2 linked regions of the Struthio camelus genome follow. The protein of the gene in region 2 purifies or fractionates together with the protein of the main gene of each other region. This does not show direct contact. Links are inferred from orthologs where the notes say so. Each region holds a gene or a part of one and is shown on either strand. Other genes may lie near its edges.

Evidence for each region.
Region 1: the proteins of CMTR1 (region 2) and DHX15 purify together in Homo sapiens (co-immunoprecipitation; 3 studies listed by BioGRID and IntAct, with this or other methods). This does not show direct contact. The link is inferred for Struthio camelus from reciprocal best matches to the Homo sapiens genes CMTR1 and DHX15.

What each region holds. Positions count from the first base shown.
Region 1 is NC_090945.1:67,269,811-67,285,730, reverse strand, and holds the start of DHX15 (ATP-dependent RNA helicase DHX15), read right to left. Parts: upstream 8,181-15,920; 5' UTR 7,908-8,180; coding exon 7,840-7,907; intron 1,490-7,839; coding exon 1,141-1,489; intron 1-1,140.
Region 2 is NC_090944.1:104,623,823-104,640,103, forward strand, and holds the start of CMTR1 (cap-specific mRNA (nucleoside-2'-O-)-methyltransferase 1), read left to right. Parts: upstream 1-7,890; 5' UTR 7,891-8,016; intron 8,017-8,028; exon of another isoform or gene 8,029-8,406; intron 8,407-8,415; exon of another isoform or gene 8,416-8,532; intron 8,533-10,150; 5' UTR 10,151-10,155; coding exon 10,156-10,285; intron 10,286-14,686; coding exon 14,687-14,829; intron 14,830-16,281. Other genes in the region: E3 ubiquitin-protein ligase RNF8, read left to right, coding at 1,685-1,830. UniProt on the Homo sapiens protein: S-adenosyl-L-methionine-dependent methyltransferase that mediates mRNA cap1 2'-O-ribose methylation to the 5'-cap structure of mRNAs.

The sequences.
Region 1 (15,920 bases), on a different chromosome or scaffold from region 2:
CAAGTTACCTATAATCTGCTTAAAACCATATAGACTAAAACATACTTCAGTACCTACTTTCTCCTTAGACAAAAGGAATGTATCAGGTTACAGAATAAAGAATTTTTACATCAGTTTTCCACAAATTTTAAACAGAAAATCAAAGTATAAAGTCTTGAGCAAGTCTGTCTCACTATAAATGCACCGCAGTGTGCTCATATCCCAGGTCTTCTCTGTCTCTCCCCCCTCCCCCCCCAATCCTTTTTAAGGGTTAGGAGGTTCTGCAGATCTGTCACAGTCACCACCAGTGACAAGGTGGATTTTGAAAGCCATGAATCTACTATAAATGTGATTTTATCCAGTTCCAAAGGACTTAGAGACAGGATCCAGATAAGCATCTAACTATGCTACGAAGGACATAGCAACCTATAAGAATATTAATGAGGGCAGGTAAGTGCCATAGCATTTTTCTCTTTCATTGTTAAGGGCATCTGCAAATTCTTTTTTTTTTTTTTTTGATGGGCACAGCTCACAGACAGGAGTTGTGTACGCAATTTAATTGTAGTACCAAAAAACTACATGACCTCTGAGAAGTCAACACAGCAGCTGTAAGGCTGTGTCATCACCCCTCAAAAAATCCAATCTTTTCCCTCTCATGTTTGAATAGCACCAAAGCACATTATCCAAGATGGATAACGCCATAATTGTATCTCACATTTCAATTCCCATTAAGTTCATATTGTAGCACTAAGTTTCAAACACTAACAGGTGTGCACTTCCATAACCTTTTTCCAGGTTTCTAGCTACTACCTATGCAAGTAGCTAAATGAACTACAGATGTAAACTGGCAACCATAATCTCAGTTTGTGGATAGTATGCTTTTGTCAAGAGTTAAAGCCTCCATCTTCTGCATCAAAAAGGACAGCCTACCAGAAACAGGAGATCAGAGAACAGAACAGGACTGTGAAAAGGGAAGAGGCTGAAAGATTCTTCTCATCTGCTTTTATACTTATTAAACAAATGAAACATTCCAAACTAGTTTTGCACGAGCCTTGTAAAGTATCCTTGCACAATGAATTTCAAGGAACCAAAAGATTAACACCCCAGTTAGCAACAGTCTCAACCAGTAAAAATTACAGTATCAAGTAGGTAAGCACTCACCTGTGTTGTTTTACCAGACCCAGTCTCTCCAACCAGTACAAATGACTGATGCCTAATCAAAATATCTGTAAATCTTTCTTTATATTCCCAGACAGGGAGTTGTAGCCGTTTCTTCAGTATGTCATAATATCGAGGTGTATGTGGTAGATTTGTGAAAGGGTTAATACTGTGTGGAATCATTGCTGTTTTTATAGGTTGTAGCCCAGCAGCAGCAAAATATGTAGAATTTGATGTAGGTCGCAAATCCTTTTCCTTGTCCCTTTCTCTGTCGCGATCTCTGTCTCTGTCCCGATCCCTATCACGATCTTTAGAACGGTCGTCACGGTCCCTGTCCCGGTCTCGATCTTTCCTAAAGTAAGTTAGGAAATACAGCAGAAAATGAGATACTAGAACATTTAAATGCAGAGTAGGAATCTAACTAAAAAACAGACTTCAAGGTTTATAATATAAAGTGGATATATATCAAATACTTAAACAGCCTTGCAAGCAGCTACAAGAAAGGATAAGCAGAGAACGAATAACATTATATGACACATACTGAATGTCAGCTACACAAAGTAGTTGCACTCATTGTACAGAAGTACTGCCATAGTTCCTCTCAGTATAGGCAAGATTAAAGCAAGCATTCACATGAAAAGAGCATCGTCTTGATCTTGTTCACTTATTATCAAGAATCAGCTACGCATCCTCAACTTCTCAGAGTTCCTCCCATCCCTATTTGCTATTGCTGCAGAAAAATAAAAAAACACAGTAAATACTCTTTTTGCCCACCTAGCAACAGAATTTTGACAACTGCAGGAACTGTAACTCAAGATGATCTACGAGCCCCAAGAGAGAAGTTTGATTCTTACATCCCACAATGAGTTTGTAGTTTTATGTGCTCAAAGTCACCCGTTACACAGTGACTCAATTAATTTTGATTTGCAGGTTGCAGAGTCTGAAACTCAGACTTAAAGCCAGTCACTTCAGTTGTACTGCCTTCTTTGATATCACCTCCTACCACACACTTAGAAGCAACCAGCATTTATGTATTTTTTTTGTTGCCAAGTCTTAAACAGTAGCAGTCACATAGTTACAATTACATGATTTGTAAAACTCTGTTACCTAAACAGCTGTCAGCAAGTTGCACAAAAAAAAAAAACAATGTAAGAAGCTATATAAATACCTCACCTCCTCACCATAGCAGAGAGACACAAACTTAAAAAAACACACATACACAAAAAGTAATTACACTCCAGCAAATCTGAAACTGGAAGTATTTGGCTCATTTTTATCTAAATTAAGAATAAACTGCAAAGCCAAAACGAACCTAGTAAACAAACACGTCAAGGGGAAATAATTCACATTAAACCTCAAGTAATCTTGAAGTTGCCTATTATTGCTACCAGGAACATGAAGTATACTTTCTTCCAAAGCTGAAGTCCAAAAAAGTTCATTGCACTTGCAAGAGAGAAACAGTGTTATTTTCACTATAGTTATCCAGTCCAAATTCAATCTCTAGCCTCAATCTTAGTTGCACTTTGCTTTTGCAATTCCACATACTTGGTTTTGCATGTAATTACACTTTCCCTACTAAACACAGAAACACTCGCAAGAAGTCTCCAGTTTTACCCAAAGAACTGTTGCTACATGCTTTTAATAAAATTCAAAACTTCCCAATACTTCAGCAGTTATATCCCACTAAATAAAAAAACCTCACTAATTTTACACACGTATAAATCAAAAGATTAGTAGTAAGAAACGTCCACTTCTTCACCAGCTCTCAGACACACCTAAAAGCAAGAGTGAAAGCTGCTGAACACCACACTTCTCCACAAGGCTTTTTAAGTGTGAACTTGCAAAGCATGCAATCAGTGAGCTAATATGCGAACACCTACCTATAGGAAAGGTGATGCAGCCAAGAACAATTTATATTATTATTGATTTTATAAATTCTAATTCAAAATGTGCTAGACATCAAGGAGGACTAACATTCTTGTTCTTGTAAAAATGAACGTAATGTAGGCAGACTGTATGGATGTTCTTTCCCAGTATAACCCCATGACTTAACTGAGCTATTCCAGACTGACAGGCACGCAAGCAAGACCAAAAACCAAGCTCAGTTTGACATACTATGGCTTCAGGGGCTGTCATAATTAATAGCTATTATTTTGTTTCATATTTCTAAAAACACTTCTTTTAACATAGACCCAGCTGAGAAGAAAGGAGGGTAACAAAATGCACTGCTGATTGTCACTGTCCTAGTTCACTTTTCATAGACTTTCCTAAGTCTTTGGGACACTGAACTACCTAAAAAAATTAAAAATAATAATTTTAAAAAGGCTCGTTTGCATCTTTTGCTTGAGTCAAACTCCATAGCCTCAGCATAGTTCTAACACTGTCAAATACTGTAAAAGCTAGAAATCTCTGTTTACATTAAAATGGCAGCCAAGTATTGCAGAACCTGGTAGGGTCTTATACTCTGCTAGAGGTAAGTTACCCCTGTTACAAACTGAAGAAACTAATTGCCATAATACTACAGTTCAGGGTGGAAGAGTCTAACGATAACAGACAAACGGATCAAGTTTTAGATTTTTTAAGTTAATCAGCTATTAATAATCAGCATTTTTAAATATCAGAAGATATTGACATAAAAAAGTGTGACAAGACAGTAACAGCATAATAAGAAAAGGAAATAAAGGTTATAAAAAGCAATTTAAGTACAGTAAAACCAGGACAAAATACAATAACAGTACTGATAACAGTACATACTTCACTGACAGAAAGGTAGAAAGAGAACAAGACATAACAATGGTTTTTACACCATGACTAGACACCAATGAAGTTAGCAACAAAATTCCTTCAGAAGCAGACTATTCACTAACTAGGTAAACAATTCTATGTCAGAAACTTCTACAGAGCAGATGAGTTTATCTTCACATATGTTTCAAAATGCATAAGCCAGCACCAGTAACAAAACAAAAAGACCCATCCTCTGTTGCCAACTTTATCCTTGTGTTCACAGCAGCACTTCAGTGGCCCTGTAGAAAACAAGCCCTTCCTAGTCCATCTCCACTAAAACTAATTCTAATATAGATCAGTTCTCTAATCTAATCTCCCACAAGCTTACAGCATGAAAAGAGAGGGGGCAGCCCTGTCGTCTTTTGTGATGGCAGTGACTTGTGTGGGTTTAAAGTATAGATATTATCTCAAGAACACTGAGCTGCAGTAAATAAACTACAAATATGATCCAGAATTGAAAGTCTTGTTAATCCTCCATTTCTGTTACTTCATTTAACTTACAGCTGCCCAATCCCGCATTTAAGAAAACAAACTTATCAAGTTTTATTTACATCTCAGAAGGCAAAAACTCTAATTAGAGGTTAACCAAGGGAGTTGTTTTTTCTTTATTGTTTCAAAAAGGTTTAAGAAAGATAGAAATGTGGCAACTACATGTCAGCACAGAAAAACATGACATACAACATGCCCTCAAATTTACTCTCTAACATTCATTGGTCATTTATTGGTTTGTTCTACAGCAGCACTTTTTATCCTAAAAGGGCTTCCCAATCTCCTCTTGGTATTACTAAAACTTGGCAGACACATCCAGACTTCTGGGATCAACCATGGAAAAGGGGAATGATGTTCTGTTCCAAAAAGATGCTGCCTGCTTCCTCATCACTGACAAGTTCGAAGTAAGTGAAAGAGTGCTTCCAGATGAGCATTTTAATGACTAAAGTACAAAACTGAATTCTAGCTCATATCTTTTGAGGAGTGATCACTCAGACTTTGGTGAGATATATACTGGACATGTTAAGGTGTCATATGAACTTACTGAACCTCCTGTAAAATGCAACTTGATAATTCTTCATTTAAGAACGGTCACGTTTAACTTACTCTTCATCATCTTAGAGAAGCCTGATTTTGATTTAATCTAATTCATCTTGCTCACAAACTCCAATTCCATAACCAATTTTTTTTGTAAGCAGTCTCACCTATCAGCTTTCACATATTTAATACATACATATACATACAGATACAAAAGAAACATAACAGTCACTAAGTCATAAGATGAAAAGCACTTAAACCAAAAAGAGAAACACAGGACATAAGGTGAAACCACAAATCACTGTTAAATAGCCTAAACATTTCTAATAGAACATTACTATTATTCTTTCATTACTAAAAAGACACTTGCAAAAGTCTGCAGTTCATCCAAAAAAAAAAAAAAAACAGAGTTAAAAGAGAAATTCTGTTCTGTATGTATGAAAACAGAAGGTATAGTAAGTCAGAGTGATACATCCCACTCACACAAGCACTCTGATATTATGCAGCTACTGAAGTAGCTTAGAAAAAAATTAGCAGATTTAGACACTAACATACTTTACATAGCAACATTGTAACCAGAGACTTCCCATACAATTCACATATTTCAAGAAGTTTTTTTTGTTCAACAGTGATACATAAAGGCTGAAAGAAAATAGATATTGCGCCCATACTCAAGAAGTTTACATGGGCGACTACAAGCCTATTGGCCTGACAGCACTCCCATGCAAAAGTGCACATATTAGTACGTGACCTCAATTAAAAAGGAGGTAAAAAAATACAGGGTATCTTGATACAATATTTAGATTACAGTTAGATAGTCAGTAAGGTACAATCACTATTTCTGTATTAGCTCCCTGAATACATGCCACTTCAAATTTAGCTTAATCCAGTTCTAAAATCAACTACATTGCATAAAGGTGCTCTCTGCACAGAAGATATGTAAATACATGCTATTAACAAGAAACTCTCTGCATATCCCTTAGCCCTCTATAACCTGTAAAACTTAACAACCCTATGGATAAATCAGGACAATGTAAGATTAGTATGGCATGTGTTAGATGAATTAAGATCTCAAGTAATAATCATACTCAATAATTCTGCTTATAGCAACTGGTTCTTGGTCTCATGCCATTTAATGCTTTTGTTGGCAAAAGGAGCACAAAACCAGAGCTTATATAGGGTTTTTTTTTTTTTTAAAGGTGTAATAAAGATCAAACACTTGTGGTAAAAAAGTTATACCACTGCTGGGAACCAATTATAGCATATACCAAATGGGAAGACTATGGCTTCAGAGTGATAGTGATACTCAATAAAAATAGTACCAAAAATAAAACAAAAAACAAAAAACCAAAACCCACAACCCTACAACATACAAACTAGGAAACACTAATAACGATCATCTACACAACAATATCAATTGTACTAGGTTCAAATTATGCCAAGTTTTGGCGTCACCATTTCAAGATGTTACAAAAATCTGTATATACAAAAAAACTGTATATGTATGACTCTCTGCATGCACAAAGAGCTATACTAGCTTTTGAAAAATCAGGGGAACACACCTTGAGGTAAGCTGCTCAATCCATTTCATTAAAAAAAAAATAGATTATGGTGATCCTACATACATAAACAGATGTTCAATAAAAACAATCACTTCACTTTAGCTGATGAAAATATATCAAACTCTAGTAGCTAAAAATTCAAGCTACTCAAGTTCACACTTAAAGAAAATGCAAGTTCTATTTCAACAGCAAAGACAGTTTATCAATGAACACTAACTGCTGTGGCTGATTTTTAACAATCACCAGTTTTGTAAACAATGTAAGGCATTTATTTTTCTAGGATAAATGTCATAGCCCAAAACAATGATGCTGGACTTTAGGAAAGAATTAATTCAGGAAAGTCTTCTGGGCACCACCAAAAGAACAGACAGATAAAACAGAATACTTTTTTCTGGCCCTTTACATTCCAGAAGTCTGTTTTAAGAGTCCCCCACAGAAGTGGGGCAAAAGGAGATTCAGTGGAGGCACTGAAACCACTGTGTACGAAAGGACAGCACGAGCCCACTGTTCGAGTTCCTGCAGTTTAGGGGAGGGAGTTATAACTTCCTTTCCCTCCTCCCCAAAAAACCCACCCCACACCGACTTTTAGTTTAAATCTGCCATTCACCTGTTGGTTACTGAGTTAAAGCTGTTAACAAAGGAATAATGTTTCTGCCAGCTTAGGTACTAGTTACACAGGCTGAACAAGCCTCACGCTGACCTCTAGGACCAGACTGGCCAGACCCCTCAAGCCACAGACGGGAGGATACAAACAAACAGGGGCAGAGGGAGGGAAAGAGGGTGAGACATACGAAAAAAAAAAAAACAGAGAAACAGAGAAAGGAGGAGAGATGAAAGAGGCGCACACAAAGCCGGGCGCTGGGGAGCGGGCCGAGCAGCGCGCCGCCCCCGGCTCCGCCGCGACGCGAGCCCAACCCAGCTCGCCCAAGCGGCTAGGCCTGCGGCTTCCTCTCTTTCCCCCTCCCAGCACCGCCGCACGAGGCCCTCCCCGCCCGCTCCCTGCCATCACCCTGCCGCCATCCGCCCCCCCGTCCCGCCGAGGGGCCCGGTCCCGCCAGAAAGGCCGACCCTGGGCCTAGGGCCAGAGCTCAGAGGGAGCCGCCGAGGCTCCCGGGCCTGCCCAGACGAGGCGGCGGCGCGGGGGGTCCGCCATGCGGCCTCCGCTGCCTCAACCCCTCCTTCCACCTCCCACCGCGGCCGCCCCGCGACCCGAGGCGGCCCAGCCCCGCGGGGAACGGCCAGAGCCGAGGACGGGCAGACGATTACGCGGGAGCCGCCGTAATCTCCCACCCGCCGCAGGCCGCGCGGCCCGGGCCTCGCCGTCCCTCACCCGTCGGCGGCGCGTTTCTTGCTGGAGGTGTAGTCGTCTCCCAGGTCTAGGCGGTGGCGCTTGGACATGGCGGCGGCGGCCGGCCGGAGGAACGGGCGGGCGGGCGGCCGCGCGATGCGGCGGGAGGGCGGCCGGGGCTGGGTGCGGCGGGGCGCTCTCCGCTCCTCGAGCAGCAGCAGCGGCGGCGCCGCGAGGCCAGGCACACCAACTAAAATGGCGGCCGGAAGGAAGCGCCGGGGCTGCGCGAGACACTGGCGCGAGCCGCCGCGCGCCCGCGGAAAGGGAGAGGGCGGGGCGGGCGCGGGCGCGCGCGCGGCGGGTCCGCCTGCAACGGCCGCCCCGGCCCCACCCCCGCCCCCGGCCGCGGCGCTCTAACGGCTGCCGCGGGGCAACGGCCGCGGCTCGGCGCTGCGAGCGGCGTCCGGCCTCCCCGCTGCCGGTGAAACGGCGGAGAGCGTTGCCTGGGCGGCCCAGGCGCCTTCCCTAGCTCATCAGAGCGGCTCCAGCGCCCTGTTAGGGTCCGGCAGCCCGGGTGCTGCTGCTGATGCCCTGAGAGCAAAACTCGTTTCCCAGCCGGTCGTGCCCCTGTGGGCGCGCGTGCCCTGGGACAGGCGTTTCCCGGGAGGGTGTTTAAACCAGATAACTGTATTGGCAAACACCTATTTTAGGCTGCCACAGACTTCCCTAGCATTGGGTGGGGAAGAGTATGATCCTTCACATGCCATCTGCAGTAGCAGAAATGATTAGAAAACCGGTGGCATCTAAACTGCAAGCTATAAAAGCACATACTATTTACTACTTCACATCTTTAACTACTCAGACATCAAAGGTAGGTATTACTAGAAGTATGTTTTGGGAGAAAAGTCCAAGTGCCATTCAGAGACCCAGAAACAGAGTTGCTAGTTTCTGCCACTTTCTCTTGTGCTTTGTCTTTGGTGTCTGTGCAAGAAGATACAGTACAAGGAAATCCCATGTTTGCAATACAAACCCCAGAGGACCTGTCTGCTGTGACAAAGTTTTCTAAGGGTGAGCACAGCTACACTGGCATTTAGTAGAACAAATCCTAAAACCAAAATAACACACGAGTGAAAATGCTATTTTCTCGGTATAGTTACAGATTTTTGCACGTAGCTGTAATGATTACTTTTCACTGGCAGAAGTGCCAGCAGAAGCCTGTAGCTCAGGCCTGCTCCAAGAGACTTGTTTCTTGTGCCCCTGAACTGTGTTCCTCACCTGCTAGCCTGCACACACACTTTTTAAGAACTGGGTTAACCATCCACACATACAGAATTTGTACTCTAACTGCAGGCACAGATGAGCCTGGGCAGGAGAAGGTGGAGTCAGGCAAACATTGAGAGGCCTGTAACAACCAAGGCATCAGAAAGCAGGCTGCCCCCATGCTGGTAGAAGCACACTCAGTGCTTGACTGACCCACCTCTGCTCCCACACACCCACTTCCTTCAAGCCATTCCTGCTCTATCTCAGCGCTAGGTCTCAGCAGCTTTCAAGTGCAGTCCCTTGATACTTTACCATAGCTCATAAAAGCCCATCTCTAACTTCTTAACTCTAGCTTCGTTAAGAGGTACAATTCTTGATATATCCAGTCACTATCTAGAGATAACATCACTTGCTGGACACCATCTCCACTCGTCCTGCCCTATCTCACGCTCCCCCAGCACCTTCCTAGAGATTTAACTTCATATTTTAGATCAGTAGTAGTTTTAAGATGCAGTTTGAAAGCACTGCTATTGGTATAGCTTTCCACCTAGACAAGTGTTGAAAGACATGTGCTTTGCAAGTCTTGCTCCCCGTTGCCCTTCACAACCTTCTTGCCAGAGATTACTACAACCATTACTGAACTACTTGCATGAGCACTCCCCAGTCATTTTGGTCAAAAGCAGTCAGAATAGTTCAGATATTTTAAATACTAAATCTTTGTTAACGCTATCTGACTATGAGGGCAAGGGAGCATTCACATAACAGCTCTGCTAGCAAACCTGGCAGTGGTCAGAAAGGAGCATCCAGCAGCAGTGACCTAGTAGTACAGCTAGCTCAGCAAGGGAATGTTTATCCATAGCTTCATGTCCCGAAGATTTTCTGGAGTTCTATCAGAATAACTACTAAAATAGTTAGTTCTTGCCGTATATTCTTTAGTAGAAGAGCATTCCTGTTCCTAATTTTGGATAATATGACAAAATGGTATCCTGATCTCTGCTAGAGTTCTAGAGACCACTATAATGAAAATACCATTTTCCTGCTTAGCATTATCAACTGAAATAAATATTTCTTGGACCTTGATCTCGAGTTTTGCGTGCAAAGCCAGGAGTCATTTTCCAAGTTACATTACAAAAAAATGAAAGAGGAACCTATTTTAGAGGCTGCCAGAGGATAAGTATTACAGTAGTCTCTATCCCAAATATCAAGATTATCTGAGGTGCTCTGGTAGAATACAGAGCTGTGTTCACAGAATGCAGCTAGGGAAGGCTTTCTACACATCTCACAAAGTGGCTTTTAAATGATGGCTGTCTTAAACAAACGATTACTGAGATAGAGTGTCCGAGGAGAAGACAATTAGCTTATCAGAGAAGGGAGCCAAAAAACAATGCAGTGGCTGTGTCTCCCTGGAAAATGGAAAAAGAGAGGAAGAGGAAAGCATTATATGTATTAGATGGGATGAGCAGCTACCACTGTGCAGCGCTATGTGGTTCTCGGAAGACAGCAACTCTTCCACATCTTGATTATGCACAGCATCTCCCTATGAACAGCAGCATAAAGCCACTCAAGGTGTTGCTGCAAGTTACCACGCTGCCAACACCAGGGCAAGATTCTGCTTTAGAAGGCGGTACAAGAGGAAGTCTCAGCAGATATGACAGCCTGAAAATGATCTTGTGGCCGAATCTCCCCAGCAAGTGCAAAAAGAAGGGAGAAAGATCCAGTGTGTCAGCTGGGGTCAGCAAATACTAGACTGCTATGCCCAGGCTGATATCCCACGTACTAATTATCTATGTATTAACGTATTTCCAAGCTACCTGAACAGAACCTCCACTCAACTGTGCTTTGAGCTGTATGACTGCATAATAAATAATCTGGTCTTATCCCAAAGAGTTTGCAATCTAAGGCCTTCATCCTGCAAGCACACACATGCCTTATTTTACTAATGCAAATAATCCTTTTGACTTCAAAGAGATTACTAAGAGTAGCAAAATTAAGCATGTAGGTAAGTGTTTACAGGATCACAGTCTAAATATAAGATGAGACAGTAGGAAAAAAAATGATCAGGAAACACATAATGACAAAGTGATAAGCATTAAATTCCTAAAGGATGAAAGGAATGTGTAAAATAGGGCACATTTAAGCACATTTTCTGCCTTTTCAAAGGCATTTGTTAAATGCAAGTTTGTTTTTTTTTCCCTGAGAAGTCTTTCATATTCATCTATAAGAATGAAAATCTTAGATTACTGAAACAAGAGATGCTTATATTAGTTGCCATTTGACCATTTATTCTTTAACTCTCCATCTATTACCCTAGCTAAACAATGCATGCTCCTTGGTATCAAAATCTTCTTAGGCAATTTCCAGTGAGAAGAGTGCTTTGAGCGTGGGCATACTTACTGTGCTATTTGGGTTGGAAGGAGCATTAACGTCTAAAACTGATACAGTGACTTAGGAAAATAATGTTATCTCTAAAATATTATATTATTCTGATTGTGCATTGCGTTCACCCCGGAAGACTAATCGTGAGTCTTAGACAAGCTTTATATCAGAGACCTACTTTGGAACCAGTGCGGTTTCTGACAGAGAAGTGTGGCAGATTTAGGTGTCACAATTTCAGATATTACTGCCGCTAGCTAATTGTTTCACTCATTTGCTAGAGATTGCCAAGTCTACAAAGGGCAGGAAAATATGATATATCCAGTCTAGCATTTCAGTAGAAATATACCTTCCTCAGTGGTTTAAGCCAAAACAGGCAACTGAAGTGAATCCACACATCTTATTCTTTCGCTGCTGCAATGCTGGCAGTAGTAACGAGCAGGATCGCAGGGCAGACAGCTAAGGGAGGTTCAGTCTGCTAAAGCTTGAGTGTTAGACCCCTACAACCTCTGCAGTATATATTTCTTGTATGGCTGGCTGGAGGTAGGCTCAAAGCTACAGGCTGTACGCTCCCTATGCTATAGCAGCACTTACTCTGCCAGTACTTTTATTTATGGTTTGCTTTTTAAAAACAACTAAAAGCCTAACCCATCTTTTAAAAAATCTATAACACATAATATTAAAGAAGTTCCTGCAAACTAATTTTAAAATATTAAACCTGGAAGTAGTCCTGATAATTGTCACTGCAATCTGCTTTAAAAAATAAATATATACATGGGTAACGCCCCTAGTAAAATACCCAGGAGCCTTAAATACAAACACCCATTACAGACAAGCTCTTCTTCTGCCCTCCCCCCACCCAAGCCTAATGTGAGTAAATGGAGCTTATCCTTAGGTTCTGTCATATCAGCAGAAGAATACTTCAGACAAGAGCCCATAATCAGAGTATGTTTAAAGACCTCAGACTTCCAAATTTTTCAAATTTAAAAATATGAAAATGAATACATCAAATGATCTCAGTTTCTGCAGTGAAGAAAAGAGGTAGCTTCTATGTAATTACAGAAACTAAACTTTGCAACACTTCAAATATATATAAATCAACTTTGAATTACTCTGAGAAGTACACTTTAGGAAGCTAGCAGCACTGCCATGACAGCTGACTTTATCAGCAGTAAGATACTGTCTGAAATTTGTGAACGGTCATCAAACATCATCCCATATAGAACACATCACATCAATTCAGTTTGGAGGTCAAAAAGGTCAGGATGATTTTAGTAGTGTTTCACAAAGAAGGAAAAAAAAGAGAGAGAGTTTGCAATCACTGTGCAAGCACAGATGGGAAAAATCACTTCCGGCTATCAAAGCTACCTTAAACACCAGAAGCAAATGACTCAGGTAAGCTACCATACCTCATTCACCAAGGAGGAATATGCATCTCTTCATAAAGGGATAGATGCCAGGTCACCAGCCCAATGGCATCCCCTCTATCTTAGTTGGGTAGCATTACAAAGAGAAAAAATGTAACCAAGTACCTGAAGTCTTCTGAGAAAATTAAGACTGTGCACTGGATGGGTGCAACAGAAAGAGACACCACCAAGTAAAGACATAAGAAAGTAAAATGCTGAATTTTAACCCGCCCTTCCCTGCAGCCTGAACTATAAAGTGCACATTCTCTAATGTTATTTAAGAAGTGTTTTTAAAAGTAGCTGTATCTCTTAGAACTTCAACCGGAGGGACAATTCACTTTTGAAAAAAAAAACCCATTCTCTAAAAGGAAAGATATTGTTGCCTACAACTGCCTGCTATCCTACCGCTCTCAGTCATTTGCTAAGACCTTAGGTCACCTTTAGTCCACTCAAAGAAACCTTGCAAGAGTAGATGTTTGTTAAGTACTTTGAATTTTAAGCACTCTGAATTTAAGCTGAAGTGATGGCATAAACGCAAAATATCATCACTGAGTAAACTAGATTATATATCTAATTTACATTGATTCTACATTGAATTTACATGTTTTGGTAGGAGCACTTCTTTTGTGAAAGTTTGATTCTTTCTTGCTTTTTCTTTGCAAGTATTTCATGTCCACAAAGGGAAAAAATGCATTATCTTGGTATATACTTTTCATTCCTTTTGTATTCAGTACAATCATCTTTTATTCACTATTGAGTTAGCTCCTTAAGACTTTTTAAAAGTCCTCTCTTTTAATACAGTCTATAAAACACTCATATCCATGCGTAAGGTTAGGCATGCTGGATCTACCAGTGGTACAGCTTCACGCTGAGTATATGTGTAAGTGTAAGACACTTGTTATTGGCTTAGTTTCTATTGCCTGTATAGAATATACAAAGTTCCAAAAAGTAAAAATCACAAAAGCTCCTGAGGTGCGAAATAGGTGACGTAATAACCTCTACTTGATGGGTTATTAATGTACAAAGTGTTAACAGCTAGTCCTTATCTTCATAATAAGCCCCAGACTATATAACAAAATAGTAGCAGTAGAGAACCATACAGAATAAAAATCCATCATATCCTAGAAACACGATGTAGCAAACTATAAACAGCAACTTCCATAGCTTGCCCAGCTGGGCCAAGTTTTTCAACAATTTAGCTTCCTTATTCTTCTCCCAGACAATCAGGGTTTTTTCTAACCAACTGTGTTAAAAGTCCCCTTGCAGAACAGTCCTCACAGCCAATGAAAGCACTGAAATTGGATTTAAATTTATCCAGCTGTGTCAAAATGGATTGTAACCTCCTCTTTTTGATGGCTTATTACCATAAAGCCCAGGCCTTGTGAGGTCATTTTTTAGTGTGTCATCACTGCATCACAGCTGGGAATAATAATTTTAGTATAATCTGAAAACTGTAGAAGAACCCTTAAAGGAGTTAAGAGCAGACATTTGGCCAAGTTTGTTGTTGTTGTTGTTGCTATTAGATTACATAGCATACCCTGTAATCATATCCTTCTCTGTAATTGGTGAGCGGGTTCCCAAAAGGAAAGCACAGGGTGCTGCTAAAGCTGCTCCTTCTTGCAAAAACAAAGGAACTGATAGAATACTCCAGCCAGTGACTCCCTTTGAAGAGATGCTGAGCAACCTGTCTCTCAACTGAAAACAAGAGGAACTCTACACTCTACACTCATAGCATTTTTTTAAATCCTATCAGCTACATCTGGATTAATTGAAAGAACTGTCTACTCTCTCATATTCCATGAAGTTCTTCTTTGTACTCAGTATAGCGGTGACCTTGTTGGCTGTGCAACTTCTGCCTTTGGCAAAGGTGAGCCTCTTCTTTGTCTTATAACTGGATCTGCTCTCGATGCATAGTGTAGTTGATTTATACATGTACAGGTTGGATTTATCATGCAAGTGCTTGCTTTCTGCCCAAATCTGAATAATACTGGGAAGCAAGATAGTTGATAGCACACTGATAGTTGAGAAGTACACTGTTGACACAATGGATCTTGGACCTGGACTGCAATTCAAATAACTTGTTCAGAAGGCAGCAGCCCACTTTCAGGCCTCAAGTTTCCTTGGACCCTGCCTTGTACCACGAGAGTGAACGTTTCCTTGCTGTAGGAGATGCCTCCAGAGAAGAATATGGCTGGGAGTCATCTTTTTTAGGTCGTATACAGCCTACAGGGCCTAAACAAAGCAACACTGCTTTAAAGTCTTTCTGTTTTCTATGAATGTGTAAGAGAACTACTACAATAAGAAGAGAGGCAGAATTAAGCTTGCCACAGGTCCTTTGTAAATAAGTGCTTCCTTCTGCAATTTTAACAACTTTTTTTTTGAAGTAGCTTCTGTCTATACAATGGTGCACGCAATATATAATACAGCGCCCAGTCTTATGTTATTTTTGATATGCAGCAAGTAGTTTCATGGAAGTAAATGATGCTGTGGTGAGACATTGTGCTGCAGCACTGTCTAAACAGCCCCTGACCTTCCCAATCCTGACTGCTCATCCTCATCTCTGCAGTACCCTGTCCCTTGTTATGGCATGGTTGTTTGGGTAGACATGCAGTGCATCAGGCTGTGAAATTGATATGCCTAAAAAATAGCCTAGCAACAACAAAGTAAAAGCAGTTTCTTAGCTTGTTTGGTTTCCTAACAAGGATAACAGATGGAGCAGCAGAGGGGCACGGACAAGCAATCGGAGACAGGACACTGTGTCAGCTGCCAGTTCCCCTGAAAAAAATCCACGTCACTTAACAGCCTGACACTGCTCACAGTGAATAAAGTTCAGCACTTCAATATGTCTTTGGAGGATCAGGACCAAAGAATTATATATTTTCTCATAAAAGCTAATTTTTTCTATATATGTTTTTCTGTACTAGTTGATTGATCCTACTTTTAGGTGACCTTCTAGCTGAATTTGGATACACGTACATGAATAATAATAGCTATTCTTAGAAATTTACTTATTCAGCAATTGGTGCAGAAATATGCAGATATTTGACATTAGGTTTATTTTTCCCTAAATTCTAGCGGAAATGA
Region 2 (16,281 bases):
TTAAAATGAATAAAAAGTCTAGAAAAAGACTTCAGTGTCAATTCAGCAGTCCAGTGGGATGACTTAACTATACTGAAGGTTACGCTGTTTTGAAGAGATCTCTAAAGAAAAGTAAAACCATACAGAGCGGGCCTTGAAAAATTTACCAGATGCCTTCTGATTGATTAAACTATTGACTACATCAGTTTGAAAACTAGCAGAGCAATGCCTGGTGAGAAACTCAGAATTCTCTTGTATGTCTTAGGTATACCTAGGAGATCTGTGAAGGGAACGTTGGTCTGTCATGTAAGCGTGTGGCGGAACTGGTCATTGATCTCCCTTATGAGCTGTTGTTGAATTTACCACTGTGACTCGAACACACAACCTCTTGCCTAGTTGTAGCTAAAAGGCTCTTTATGACTGTAAGGGCTCTAAGCAAAATTCCAATATGGGGTATTCCTGTTCTTCTTCCATCTTGCAAATTGTTTTCTAGAGCACTCAACGCTGGTATCTAGGTGCTGAAATGTAGAAGTCTTTTTCCTACTACCCGCCTCTTAACAAATTTCTGTTACTGTATTCCCTTAAGTAACTGTGTTGTTTTCCCCATGTAGAGGTGAGTGCATGATCTTTTATTTGCAAAGTCAAGCCCTTTGAAGACCTTCCTAATGAAAGGTGCTTTCGAAATATTGCAGATCCTCCATGGTGACGTAGAATGACATCGTTAAACAGTGTCAGTTCTAACCTGAATTCATCACCTATTTAACCAACTCAGTCTGATTCCCTCAGGAAATGCTACACTTCTCAGAGTCTGTCCAGCCCTGCTTCATGGATTGCTTTCACCTCTGCAGAACTGACACTGCTCTTGCATAATATGCACCTCTGCAGAGTATGCCATAGCACTGTTGAAGTGTCTCATCTGGTAGCTAATGGTGGTTGGATGAAGTGGTGCCTTCATTGGAACCCACTTCATTTCCATATGGTAAACCAGTGATCTTCCTGCTTGTTTGTGATAGACACTCTAATTATATATAATGATTATTAGTAAGAATTCATATAGTTTCACCATGATACGCTTCAGGGGGAAGGATGAATTGTTTCCATGTGGTTGTCTTATTCAGTGATGGACACATCTTGAATAAGGTGAAGGTAGCCATATGTCTAGTTAGACATACACTCCTAAGAAGAAACCAGCTGTAAGATGGGCTGAAAAGGAAACGATGGTGCAGGTAGTACTTTGGAAGCACAGCCAGATAATGAGCTTTAGTATAACAGACACCCTGGGACAATTTGTACTCTTTATGTGGAGGTCTTGATGGGTCCTTAAGGGTGTCCTGAAAAAAGGCTACTTAAGTTTGAGGGCCCTTTATCACATTTTGTTCCTTCCCCCTTTCTTACCTGGCAAGACCCTGTATTAGCCAGCCACTTCCTTGCTATTTGTGCACCAGTGAAGGGATGCTGGATGTCTCCTTGTCACCTGTGCTATCTTAACAGGAAAAGACATATGGGAAATTAAAAGAACAACTTGGGAAGTTTTTAAAGCTGAAAATTGAGGGGAAAAAAAAAAAGAACATGGGATGCAGCTTGAAAGACCTATTGCAAACTGACAATAGGAAACTTTAAGTCTCAAAGAGAACTAGTAATTTAGCGGTGTGTGCGAGTAGAATGGCTGTCTGCTAATTTTTCTATCCATGTGTTTTGAATGCAGAGAAACGGAATGTGTTGGTGAACCTAGCCACGGACAATGACAACACTGTCATTTCCTCCATCTACTCCGTCTTGTCGACGAGGAGTTGTGACAATGAGAACTCTGAGGAGGATTCTTACCGTGATGATAGCTACTACATTATCTAAACATTGCTACTGCAGACTGATTTGCCTGCATGCTGCCCAGAATGAACGTAATGGTGTTTGGTTTACTACTGCTGGATGACTGGACTGGACAACTGGAAGTAGAGATTCTGTAAGGAGGCTGGAGCTTAGAACTAGCAAGCACTTGCAAGAAGGATCTTATTTTTTTTAAATGAACGTACAGAAGCTTGATCTCCAAAGCAAAATTGGGATTGCAGGAGAAAAAACTTGCGTCATGCTAGGTGGCTGACGTGCAAAACGTAGGCTTCCGTGATCATTTGTGACCTACTCAGCTGGTATAATGTATTAGTTTGTATGTATCACTGCCCTTTCCTGGGTGAATGAACTGTTTAAATGCGTGCATCATTTTTCCCGTATTTCAGCCAGCAGATGGAACGGCCCAGGTTATTTGAGAACTTAGTCATCTCCACCAGCAGACAGCAGAGGTATACCAGAAAAAAGTGCCATTGTGGGTTTTCCTCTTGAATTTTGTATGGCAGCTGGAGCTATCCAGGCTTCCCTGGCAGTAGAGGTAATAGTCCTTTTAAGGGGTAGTTATGGACCCTGTCAGGCTTCAATGCCTTGAATGCATTGTAAGCTGAGCTGCTGAGAAGTGAAAATGAGAACGTTTCTCGCTTTCTGTTGGGTAGGGATGGAGAAGATTGCATCATCTAGAAGTTCCTAGCTATTGCTATTTTCATCTAACATCTTTAGTTTGTTCCCTCTTCAGACTTTTGCATAAAGTGTTTTAGAAATGGGAAGCAGCACATCCAGAAATTATTAGCAATGACTTTAGTTACACGTTTAGTTCTTGCCAGCCGCAGAGAGGAACCTCAGTCTCTTCAGAAGCGCTGCTTTTTGAATTAATGAAATGTCCTGTTGATAGGGTGGGAAAGCAGCGTTTGTAGGCAACCACATGGCACAGAGGGGAGCGTTTTGTTTTATTGTTTACAAAATATTGCTGTTGAGCTGTGGTGTATACTACCCTCACAGCAAATTGGTCATGCCTAAGAGGCTGAGCAAGACTTGCCTCATCCTGTCAAGGACTGCGTGCGAAGTTCCATTTTCAGTGGCCTCTACTTCTGACTTAGGTGTTAGTGGAAAGGACCATTTTGCCACTGCGAGAAAGGGATGGGGGAAAACCCTTCTGATCTGTAATTTCTTTGGCCATTTGTATGTACTTTCTTGTTTTTATGTTTCTCCTGTTTAAGGAAGAAAATATAAACCCATTTCTGCATTAGTCTTCCTTGGTGCAACCGCTGAGACAAACATCTTTCTCCTAGTTATCTTAGAATTTTCAAGAGAACCCAGATTGTCTCATTTTAATGGCTCTGTTTGTGTAATGTTTTGATTGCTCTAAGCAGTTTTAGTGTTTGACTGTTTTTAATTTTGAAAGACTTACGTGTTCAGGAATTGATAAAAGACATCCCAGGTCTTCAGCCCTGTGCTAGCAGTGGCCACTCTAACGGTAATTTAGTAGATAAAATCACACCTCTTTATCTCCTCCTTCTAAAGAAGGATCTCCTTAAAAAGGCAGTGAGGTAAATGAAGGATGATGCTGTCCTAAGCAAGTAGCGCGTTCTGATAGCGTTCATTTGCTTGTTTGATTGGTATGACTTAAACGATGAAGAAATATCTGATCTGTGGGCCAGGCAACTTTGTTAAAATCTTAGTATAAGGTTTCTCTTGTGGAGCAGCTATTACACCTTGAGACTTCCTTTTCTCCTTTTAATATCTGTGTTCTATATGGGGTCTTGGAAGTTTCTGTTAGTGAATATATGCTCTCTAGAATATCTGTGAGAAGAAGGTTCCACAAAATGTTTGTGAAATATCCTGGCATTGGTGTAAGGCCTTCCTGTTGAAGTGGAGTAGAAGGAAAATACTCTGGTTACCTACAACTGCAAATTCTTCTACTGTATCTCTCTTCCATGTTGCTGTGCTTTTTTTGCTTCTTTCATTTTGCTAAATATATTTATTTTGTTATGTCAGTGTTTATATGTACTGTAGAAAGGAATAATGCTTCTCCTAGTTAGAGTAGTCCTTCAGTGTGTGCCTACTAAGTGTGTCGTCCCCTTTTCACTCGAATATAAAGAACATAAGCAGCATACTAAAACTTTTCCGCTGTTATCAGAGGGTGCATAGGGTGCAAAGCTCCAAGGAGAGAGGCTAAGTAGGAACGCTGCTTACTTGTCATAGCATTTCACTGACAAAAGCGGTCTTCCTCAGGAAGACTGTTACTGGACACAGAGCTGCTCACTAGACATACAGAAATGTCAGGTGAAGTTGCAGCTGTTGCCCTTCTGGACATCCATACCGCTCCTGCTGTGGTCTCCTGAGGTCTAAGGTCTGGGTCCTTTCTTCTGTTTACAGTTAATGACTAGAACCTTGTAGGGTCTAAAACAATTGTGCTAGCTGTTTGGCCCTAAATCAGATTTTCCCTCTTGGGGCAGACCAAAAGCAAAGGAAGATCTGGAAAACAAATAACGCAATGTAACCAAGGACTGAAAATGAGTTGAATTGCAAGCTTTTAATTGACTTCCAAGTTAAACACAGGGAACATGGGGAAAGTGGGAATGAGTCTAGGTTATTCAATTCCTTCATACTCAGGGTGTGTGCTTATGTGTGTATGTATGTATGTGAAATGAAGTAAGGCTAAAGGTAACAAGCAACCATTCAGTCAGCACGTCTCTAGTCAGAGGAAGGTCAGAAAAAGAATTTATTTTCCATTGAATGGCATATCAGTAACCAGCAAATGAGCTAAGAAAGCCAGTGCTGTTTTTATCTAAATCTTTATCTAAATCAAGATTGATTTTAATCAAATGGCTTATACAATGCTGGTGACCAGGGAGAAAAACAGTAGGCCACTGGCTAGAGTTTTGAAAGAATGGATTAGAGAGTACTTAGATTAGATGTTTTCAAATAATGAGGCAAGGTGAAATCAATCATAGAATACTTTGAGTGATCTCAGAATTTTTACAATTCTCTGAGAATCGGAGGACAGATAAGGTACTAGAATACTGAAAATAGATGCTGTACCTTTGAAAAGAAGGGAAAGGCAGAGATGAATTGTAGACCTGTGAGCTGAACTTGAGTTCTTTCTCCTACCCTCCATATCCACGCATTATTAAAAAAACTTTTTTATAAGCACATAGACAAGATGATGAATGATAAGAATACTCCACTACTCTCTTTGTCAAGAACAAAACGTGCTAAAATAATATTACTTTGATGGAGAAGTTAGGAGAAACTGTAAGTACCTTAGCTTTTTGTATACTTTTTGATACTGTGTCTCATAAGGAAGCTGTGTAAGGGTAATCTAAGTGAGACTAAGGTCTGTTCAAAACCAACCACAAATCAGTGGTGGTAAAAGGATTTAAAGCGGAGATGTGTCTTTCTCTTCCCTCCCCCCATGTGGTTCACTGTGAACAAACACATAAGTTTCTATGCTTGTGTAGGAGCAGTCAAATACAGACTGTGAACAAATTTGCCAGATAGCAGTTACGCAGAAAGGGATGAGAAAGAGTGTTACATTGACAATATGCTGCTGCTGTAAAAAAGTAGGTATCTGTATACATAAATGAGGATAAGTTGTGTACTGTTGGGTGTTTCTTCTTGTCTGCTCAGCATTGGTAAGACTGAGCAGCAGTAGTACTGTGCCTGATCTTAAGGACTATGTCTCGAAATAGATGTAGACCAACTGGCAAAACAACAACAGATCTGAGGTTCAAGAAACATCACCCCATGTGAGAAGGATTTAAGCAATTCCAGTCGTCTTTCCAAAAAAAGGGGAAAACTGAAGAAGTCGTGAGTCTCCAAATAAATCAAAAGCTGTTTCAAAGAGGAAGGGACTAGGACAAGAAGTGATGGAATTTAAAGTCACAGTAAGGAGATTTCCTGAAAGTGTTGTTTTTGGGGTTTTTTTTGTTGTTTTTTTTTCCCTTCCCCCCCCCCCCCCCCCAAAAGCCTGTATGATCAGATCAGGCAAACACCCATAGTATCAAGAGTTTTCCTCCCACCCTGTAAAAAAAAAAAAAAAAAAAAAAAAAAACCCGTGGCGTGTGAAGTACTTCTCTTTTGCTTTCAAAGAAGTTCAATCTGTGCCCTGCAGTGTACTGTATAATTTCTAAAGGTGCTGTCTTTACGCCACTGGAAACTATCTTTGGATCCATGAACTGAGAAATGCTGGGTTTGGATATAGTTGACATAGTTTTGGGGAAGAGGGAAATAGTAGGTGACTTCCTTAAGGCCCCTTTTTCTTGGATTTGTTGATACAGGCCATTTTCTTCCCCCCTCCAGGAAGGAATGCCTGGTAAAAAGGCTGTTCTTGAATTCACTGCCCGAACTGAAGTCACTTGGTTGGCTTCTTCCTTCTGAGTAAGTGATACTGTCAGGTGTGTTGGACCTTCACTGGTGACAGCTGTGTGCATTTGCAACTGCTACAGATTCTACACATAGTTTCAAGGTGGACATATCCTCCAGAGAAGGACGGAGGTTACAGAGGAGTGATTCAGTTCTTTTTTTGGTGGTGCTACTGCTGCAACTTTAAGATTGATCCTGCTTCTCTGAGTTCCATGAGGAAGATAGATATATATGGAACTTGTTTGAGGTGAGTCCTAAATTCCTATTAAAGACCGGCAAAGCCCTTAGATGGGAATTGCTATTGCAAGACGCAATACTACTTCCTTGTATAATAATGGTTTAAGTATAAACTTCTAGTACAGCATGTAAACCTAGCACAAATTCTTTTCTTCCTTTACAAAAAACTAAAGAATTTTAACTTGCAAATGAATTTGGAAGAGAATCAAACTTCAGTCAGTATAAATGGTGTATGAATAAGACAGCTGTGTCTGGTTTCCTGCCCCCCCCCCAAACAATCTAAGAACCTTTCTTATTGTTACTTGGTTAAGGGAATCCAGATATCTAGCTTTTGCTTTATAAAAGGAACGTACAATGAAATGTAATGAACCTCTTATGAAGGACTCCTTGTGTACATGCCTAATGGTCCTGAGGCCTGGGTTAGCTGCGCTGTAGTTTTCCTTCTTCTGAATGCCCACTTGCAGATGTCATGCCCTGAATTGTTCCTGTCTTGGGATGGCATCGAGCACTACTCATCTCCCATCCAAGATGAGGTTACAACTCTGAGCTAATCACAGCTGATCCACAGCAGGCTTGATGCAGGTTCAAGACGTGCTGTTCTGTCTTTCGGGAGATAGTTGTCGTGCAGTGTGATGATAAAACGTGTTCAAAGCAATGTATTGCTTCTTGACATGAAGCAAGAATAACTGGGAAAGGACTTGAATGCATTCGGGTATGGGACCATCCTGGGTGAGATGGTTCTTTGTTTAAACCTCCTGCTGTAGATGCTGTTGAGTGCAAGAGGTGTCTGGCAAAGGCTTTTCTCTTGCACGTATTATTATTTAACCTTGCAGATCAGGTAAACGCCGAGGCATAGGCTGCTTGCGAGAAACCTCGCGCCGCTCGTAGCAGCGATGACGTTTCCGGCGCGCACCTCAGCGCAAGGGGCAGGAGCGCAGCTGTTTTGCACAGCACCCAACGGGTGGTACCTGCGGCCGGGGCAGGCTGCCAGCGAGGGCTCCTTCAGAAGCACGCAAAGCAGGGGTGCTTATGCAGGCGTCTAGCGCTTCAGCCGACGTTTTAGATGTACACAATTTATATAGATTAGAAATGTATACATGTTTTCTGAATTTGTATAAATTTATAAATATGAGATAAACTGAAGATTAAGAAAATTAGATAAATATTAAGTTTATTAACAAATATAAGTCTATATTAAAACAATTACATTTTCATTCCCCCAGGGGGGAGGGGTAGGGAGGACCGCGGCGCCGCTCGCCGCCGCTCGGCCGGGCAGTGGGCGTTGCTTAGCGACCGGGGGCCTTTGCGGGGGCGAGAGCCGGGGCTACTTCCGGGTTGCGGGCTGTCCGTGGCGCGCCTGCGGGACGGGCCCCTCGGCGGCCGCGGCGGCGCGGCCGGCGCTTGCGTCACTGGCGCGCGCCGGCGGGCTGAGAGGCCCCGCGGGAGGGGGCGGGCCGGGGGCGGCGGCGGCGGCGCCTCAGAGCGGGGAAACGAAAGTGCGGGCGGCGCCGGGCTGGGTTCCCGCCGCCGCCGCCGCTGCTGCCGAGGGGCCGGCGGGGGGCGGTGCGGCCGGCCCGCTGCCCTCTCTCTTCCGTGAGTGCCGCCGCGGCCGCCCGGCTCAGGCCTCCGCCGGCCTCGGCGCGCTTCTCGGCGGGGGCTCCGCCGGGCGCGGCCTGCGGCTGCCGCAGCCTCCCGAGGGCGGCGGGGTGCCGGGCTCCGGGAAGCGCTAGCGGCTGCCGGCAGTTAGCGAAGAGCCCCCGCCGCTAGGTAGCGGCGGCGTCGCGCAGGCTTGTCCTGCCGGGGCTCCTCCGGCGGAGTCCGCTTGCGGCCGCTCGCGGTGGTCTGCGGGAAGCTGCGTTACGTAAGTGGCAGCAGCCCCTGGAAAGGCCGGGAGCGACCCAGAGCGCGTTATGTAAAACCGCGAGGGGACTGACTGCGGAACAGGTGCCGCAGCGCTGCTGCCTGCACACCCTGACAGCCTCGGTGAGCGACACGGTTAGGCACCGACGAGGTTTTTGAGCTAATGATTTCCGTGCCTGAAAGGGTGCCCCACGTTGGCTAGCGTGGTGAATTAATGGTGTTATTTGAAACTTTCAAGAGCTGGCAAAAGTGAGTAGTAATAAGGAGGTGCTTCCTTTCAAGAGGAGCTTGATGAGTTTGAGGGCTCATTTTCGTTGGCTAGCCCCATTCCACCCTGTAGACAGAGAGCGATGGGTGAGATGTACCTCTGGTTTGAATTAAAGCATCCCTCTTTATGGGTTAGAGGGCATAGGTGTGCATGTGGCTGATGGCTGAATTCAGCTCTACTTTTTCTAGCTTATGCTGTTCTTAAGAACAGGTGCAAGTCTTGGGGCATTGACTCAAATTAAGTGGGGTAATGTCACCTCGTACGTCTCCTGTAGTTTAGCTTTCAGTTTAATTGTGCACGCTTTTAAATCCAAGAGGAAAACAGGGGTGCTGATGGACCGTTAGTATGATTAGGAGGGTGGAGATCTTGAGAGGGAACTAGAAGGAATGAGCTAAGAGTTTGTTAATCAAACAAGACAACATCTGAGAAGAAATAGAATTGCTCTCTCAGCACATGGAAGATACTTAGCTTTCTTCCTTCCTTAGTTATTAAGCCAGGGGTCTATATTTGCACGAGAACAGATAAGCATGATTTGGCTGTGAGTGAACTTCTGGTGGAGGTGAAAAGATTTCTTAGGCACAGTGCAATGAAGTTCTGGGGTGGTCTTCCAGTCAGAGTCATGGGGATGAATACAGGAACTGATTTTAAGATGGAGCTCTGTAAGTTTGTGGAAATAAGTTTGATGACACAGGGTTAGAGTCAGAAACTTGGGGCACTTTTTCTAGTCCGGCGTTCATATGTAGAATAATAAATGTTAATTGTTTTTTAATCATTTGTCACCAATAGCAAGAAAGTTTAGCTAGTGCTGCAATCATCTGTGCCGGTTTATTTTCACCTGTTTTCCTATTTCTTGGCACATCTCTGTGAGCCTTCCCACCTAGGTCCTATTAGCTTAGCCTTGAGTGTTACTTCTTTCTCTGAATTTATGTGAAATTTATCTGGCACATCCAGAAACTTGATATCATGCCAGTGATGTCTGATGGTAAAAGCAAACAAATAGAAAAAATCAACCAAAAAAACCTCAAGAACCTTGAGTGTTTGTATTTAATAAAGTTTTGTTGTAGAATTAATGTGGAAAAGCTCATTTTGTAATTAATATTTGCATGGGCGAGGTCAGAGGTGTTGTGATCCTCTTGTGAGAAATGGATTCCACCTTGTGTGTTCCCCATTAGATTGATCTTACTTCCTGGTTTTTTGTGTTTGGGTAGAGTGAATCTTTGATTCAGTAGTAATAATTGACTGTTGTATTTTTAAGTTACGTAAGTGCTGAAACCTTGGTTCTCTTCAGCTGCTAGCATTTAATGGTGACTAGGTTGTAGAAGTGATTCTGAATTCAAGTCATTGGCAGTAGGGAAACTTCTGTATAGTTTTCCTGTTTGGTTAGTTAAACCGACTATTAAATAGGTGGTATCAAAAAAATCCAGTGCGTTTACCTAAAGGAAACTTAAGTTGAGAAGTGTATCACTGAATGGTCCATAAAATAATCTATGCCACAGTGCTGCTGGTATGAGACCTTCACCTTACCCTTCAGCGAGCAGGAGGAAAGTTAACTTGCTTAATGTTTTCTAAGTGTGATTTATTTTTATTTTTTTCTTTCAGTAAAAATGAAGAGAAGGGCAGAGCCAGAATTTAGCAGCCCGCAAAAGAAGCAGAAGAAGAGGATAGAAGACTTGGGATTAACCCTCAGTTCTACTTCAGATGATGAAACTCAATTTAGTAATCATATGACTCAAGGTAAGGTTGGAGATAGCGTGTGTATCACTGCAGGGAATCTGACTAACAGCTAGGAGCTGAACCTACATCTCCTCAATCCCAATTGGGCTTCAAAGGGCATATTTTCTCTTTAGGGTAAAAACAGCATTATTTATGTTCACAAACTTGAACTTACGTGTTTTTTTTTAAGCTTTTTAAACGTTTATTGGACTCTTTTTTTTTTTTTTTTCCCCCTTCTGAAGTCTCGTGCAGACACTTTAATCTGGGAATTATATGAATTCAGATATAGAAAATAAAAATTGGAGGTAGATGACCGAATACATGGTCCAATATCTGTAAAGATTCCAGTTATAAATTAGCAGCGTTGGTCTTTTCAGTCTCAGTGGATTTTTTGTTTTGGAAGCTTTCACTAGTGCGTAGTTGTTTGTGGCGTGCGGTATGTGGTGTGCGGTAATGAAACATCGCAATCTCCCTTTGTGAGAACAATTAAGTAACATTATTCCATTTTTTGCAGATGGGATGAATTGAGGTGCGTACAAAGGGTGGGTTGATTGGGGTTCCTAGGTTGTAACACCATCTCTCTCGCCCATTCAATGTGACTTTTCTGTAAGAGTTGTGAGAGCTCACAGGTGCTTGATTTCACATATTAAAAATGGTTTAGAATTAACTGTATTAGTTTTCTACCTTTTCCCAAGTTGGGTGTGCTTTCTCACCTTGGGCTTGGAATACGCAATTGCTATTCCTGTTGCAAGGTGCTTTAAACACTCCCGGGATGGCGCTTCACGCTGCCATATGCTCACACCTGTTACTTTTGAGTCTTTGAGATTTCCCATGGTAATAAAGTGATAGTGAGATGGGTTCTGGGCACAGGATTTTGGGACAGTGGAAGGCGGATGGGGGTGGAAGATGTATGGGTCGACTTGACTGGGAATAGGCACAATGAGCGGTCATGTATGTATCAATGATCTGTCATGTATGTGTATGCGTTTGGCAAAACCGGAGGTAAATGGGGAAGTTAGATTTGTGGGGTGTGAGAGTTGGTAGGGAATGCTGTGTGCGCTCAGGGCTGGGCTAAAAATTTCAAACCAATATTTGTTTTCCTCTTTTTTCCCCTTTTATGGTTATTTAGTTCAGTTATGGGTCAAAATAGGCTATGAATCTTAATGTTTATGAAACAAGTTGATACTGCTCAACGAAAACGTTTTGGATAGTCTAAATTGTTTGGTATTGTATTACACCCATTGAGGTTTCAGATGAAAGCAAGGTTGGCAAAAAGAAATAGTTTGAGATTTGATCTCATTGTTTGCCTAGGAAATGTTAAAAACAACAAGAATTGTGAGGGAACTTCCTTGAGATTTATGTAGTAGATGTTGTGTTTGAGGCACGTAATAAGCCTCTGGAAAATAAAAAACAACTCAAAATCCAGTAACAGAGCTGATTGAAGGTGTGGGTTGGGGAAGCAGAGAGCCGTAACTGGCTCTAAAGCAAAATCCTTTGTGATCCTCTTCATCTCTAAGAACTCTGAAGGAAGCAGAAATGTAGCTTCCTTGACGAATTTTTTGAAAAGTGAGATGGGCCTAAAATATTGGTAACACCAGCTATGTCATAGCCTTCCGTATCTTCAGCTGTAAGGTTGATATTGTAAATTTTTGCATGTTAGTTGAAGGGTTGCAAGACTTGAATCTTAAAGGCTCCATTCTCTGAACTGATAGTGCAGTTACAAGATTGATCAGGCATTGAAGAGATTTTAACTATGATTAGGTATTTCACTGCTGTCTCTTTCACTTTTTTGGCTCTTGTGATGGCCTTTCTACAGTTGTTTCCTGTTACTTGATGAAATTCAGTTATTTGTAATGTGAAAAATAGCGATCTGTCAGTTGGGAGAGAAAGACGCTGTGTTTTCTCTGAAATCAGAAAAACTTAAGAAAAGCTGAAGCCTTCTTTGCTGGTAATTTTGTCTCTCTCTTCATACTTCTGTGCAGCTTTTCCTTTTTAAGCGATAAACAGAATAAAGATGTGCTCTGCTAACCGCAATTTTCTGCAGTGTCTTAAGGAAACTTGTATAGTTCAATCTCTCCTAGTTGTATGAAGTAGCACAGAATGTTTTCTAACACTCATCGAACAAGGAAGGCTCAAGAGATGAAGGTCCATTAAAGAGCATGGCTAAGCCTGCAGTGAACTGCTGTTCCAGTAGTCTTTATGGACTACCCGGCAGCACTAACTTAGTGCGACTGCTGTGATGCTAGACATGTTTCAGGGAGGAAATTCATGCTATTCCGTCATTCTTATAGTGGCTTTTCAGCAAAAAAGGGGGAAGGACTCAGTGGGCTGTTAGCAGCAGCTGGTTCCTGCCGCCCCTTTCTCAGTCAGCCAGAGCGCTGCCTTTCTAGCCTGGAGCTTCCTGGTTTTGGATAAACTGCAGTTTGAAGGTTGGTGGGTTTTGTTGTTGGTTTTTTTGTTTGTGTGGATTTGTGCGTGTGGTGTGTGCTGTTGTTTTTGTTGTTGTTGTTTTTTGCTTCATCTTACCTTAAGGATGGATTTTGTGGGGCCAAGGTAAATCGCTTGTAAGAGAGGTCTACGTTAGTTTGTCTAGTATAACCACATGGAGCACCTGCTGGGATTAGGCTTTACATGGTTTTAGCAACCTTCTATATGTGTCACTAGAGCTAGTTGAGCCTAAGTGTTCAGCTTGCTCTGCACTGGGGCCATGAGCGTTTGTGATAATCTGGTGCAAATATCCTTAATGCAGTCGTGGCCTGGATAGTTTTGATTAGGGCGTTGGGGGAAGGTGCATACCAAACTACTTTCAATAAGGGAACGGCATTAGTTTTAGTGTGTTATGGATTTTATTGAAAAGGTTTATTTTTTTTATTCTTATTTCTGGAAAACCTTGAATGCATCTTTCCAGTTATCTCTTGCACCAGGCGAGAATCCCATGTGTTTCCTCAGACTGCTCAACATGCATCAAGCATGGTTACTTTTCCTGAGGAAGGGACAGAGACTCTCCATCCCCTCTGTGAGGAAGGGCTGGTGGTCGTGACTCCATCCTACTCCAATTCTGTAACGGTCTTGCTACTCTGGTAGAGGATTCTCTTTGAGAGATTTACTACTCTGTTTTTGCTGGAATTTGTGCCTTACCCTGCTTCCTTCATTTTGCTGAAGATGATGCCACACCTGGGTGTATCAGTAGAATCTAACCAGCTAAGGTACCTGTGCTGCTTGAAGCTGCAGTCCTATGCAGCATATGTGCAGGGTAAAGAATCAGACATATACTGACCTGCTGTTGTGATAGAAGGAAACCAGAAGCTTTAAGGTTAGCCCTTTCAGAGTAACTTTTGGGAAATCTTAATAGCATGGTTTTGCTCTAGAACGTAGCAAAGTGGAGCGAAGAAGTGGTTATTTATTTAGTGTTTCTAAACTGTGGCCCTCCGATCATTAGTGGTCCATAGCAGATCCATGTTACTATATTAAACTGTTTTCAGTTAAGAGCTTGCAAAAATGGGTAGCTTGCCAAAAGGCATGTTGGGGATAGCCAGTTGAGTTTCAGAAACACTGAATGTACTCGTAGATCCACAACGTTAATGATGAGTTGTCTCTATCCTTCTACGTTATTTGTAGGTTAAACCTTTGCCTGAAAGACTTATAGGGTGAGTAATGCCTGTGCAAAATTGATGTCTTCTAACCTTACCTTTCACTTGGATTTGTATGCCTCAGTAAACTTCTCTGGAGGTGAAAAACTGTCTCATTTTCTGTAGTGAACTTGGGGATCACACTACTGAAGTGGGTAATTGAGTCAAAGTGAAGTTTATTATGGGAACTAAAAGGGCTTAAATCTTCTGTTCTTTCTGCAGTATTAGTCATTTGGTGCATGTCTGTGTTTTGTGATGTGAATTTGTGCTTAGGTCAGGGAATGCGTTCACTCCTGTAGCTGGATAGGAAAATGAGGAGAATCCAGTATGACTGAATAATTATTGTTATGCTCAGGAGAGAATCTTCATGGGCTTTCTCAGCTGCCCGAGATCATTTGAAAGGTCAGATGCACTCTAATGTGCCATGATGGTCATGCTGTGGCCTTTTCTGCCGCTCTGATAGCGTTTGCCAGGCCTTTTGGAGTGTTTGAAATCCAGGTGTCTAAAATGCGTGTTACTGGCTGAGAGAAATTGTATGCATCCTTGAGACAACGGAATGTTAACCATTCAGTAGAATACAGTAGGTTACCAAGTACTGGCTCCAGATAATATTTATATTGCACCTGCATACTTCCTGTAACACATCTGAGATACTGAAGCATCCTGTCTGCCTCTGTGCTCGTTGAGAGGATTGGTAAGTCACACTTCAAACTTCTTGATGTGGTTACTGAGATGCTTTGCTTCCATTTTCTTCTCATTTTCATGTTCACTTCTCCCTCTCTTTTGTTTTCAGAGTCTTCCAGTAGCAGCAGTGGGTCTGATAGTGAGAGCGATGAAAAAAGACCAGTCTTCAGCAATGAGTTCAAGCAAGACTCTCTCGTGGAGGGTACTTCATCCCGCTACTCTATGTATAACAGTGTCTCCCAAAAGCTCATGGTAGGTCAAAATAGTTTTGTATGAGACTATTAAAACCTGATGAGTGCGTGAGGGCAAAGTGAAAAGACCAGTCTATTTTAAGAGATTTTCCCTATGTTTACCATTGAATTTTGCATGCCCGTAACGTCTCTCTCATTAGCAGTTCTGGCTGCAGCAAGGCCAATCAGTGATGATTTTATACCTTGTTAATTACAAGCCTGAAACTGTAGAGAGTGTAACCTTCCCTTCTTGCAAGGGAGACCTCTGCGCATATAATGGTATTTTCCATTCAAGTCCAAGTCAGCCTTTCACTGCACATAACTTCTGCACAGAAACTTACTTTTGCTAGCTCCAGGCTGCTAGAATTTCAGAATATTCCTATTTCAGTGAATATTTGAGATTGATTTAAATGTAACTGTTAACTTGAATTGTAATTCTTGTGTTTTGCCCTGCTGTAAGATTGTTAATGAAGTTCTGACTTGTGAAGCTTGTAATGCTTTTTCCAAGTGGGGATGTTTTCTTGAAGGGGATTGTAGAAGCTTCCAGTGAAGTAACCGTGTGCTTGGCTTTGCTGTAGTTTCAGAATTGCCTTCCAAAGATTGATATTTAATAATTAACCTCCTGTAGCACCAGAGTCTTCCTTCCCCCGTCTTTGCTTTTGAGAATCAGTGCGACTGAATCAAATATATTGAAAGAAAAAGTGTGAAGACAGATTTTTTTCCAAAGTGACGCAGGATTAACTGGGACATATTGGTGCACGTGGTAGAGGACCCTAGGTATCATGTGAATTTTGACTAGCGTATACACAGATTGTCTTACATCACATGTAAGACTGGGCAAATTAACTGTACTGTGGCTATTAGTGGTGGTCAGCGTGGTGTTTTGCTCTCCGAATCGCTTACAAAGTAGTTGCCAATTTGGGAAGGTTCCTAGTTTGACGCTGTAGGATGTGTCCTCCCATGGCCAGATTTTCACTGACAGGTATTACTGTTTGTATTACTGTTTATGGGAATTAGGAGATACTACCTTTCAAAGAGTTGAGCTGTTGCTGACCAGCAGGATCATAGCTCTATATGAAACAGGAACTTTGAGCTGTTGATGAATTTACAACTCAGTGGGATCCAGAGGCTGAGTTGCTGAGTGTTAAGGTGCTCCTCTGTGGATAGATCCTGATGATGATGATTCAGAATCTGTCCATGTGCATTTTTTGGCTCCTGGGCTGCAATCTGCTGATTCTAGCACCACACTGTCCTTAACGTGTAGAGCTGTCTCCAGAGGCAAGTAGGGTATGTGCTTTCAATCACCATAGCATGGGGACTTTGTGTGGTTGAATTGAGAAGGCTTTTATTTGTACACCTTCATAGACTTGGGTATAAAGATTGACCTCAGCTCTAGCTGAATCACTTGGTGGCATTAGGTAAGTAAAAGATGTTCAGAATTCTGTTCTCAGAAAATTAGTGCGCAACAAGATCA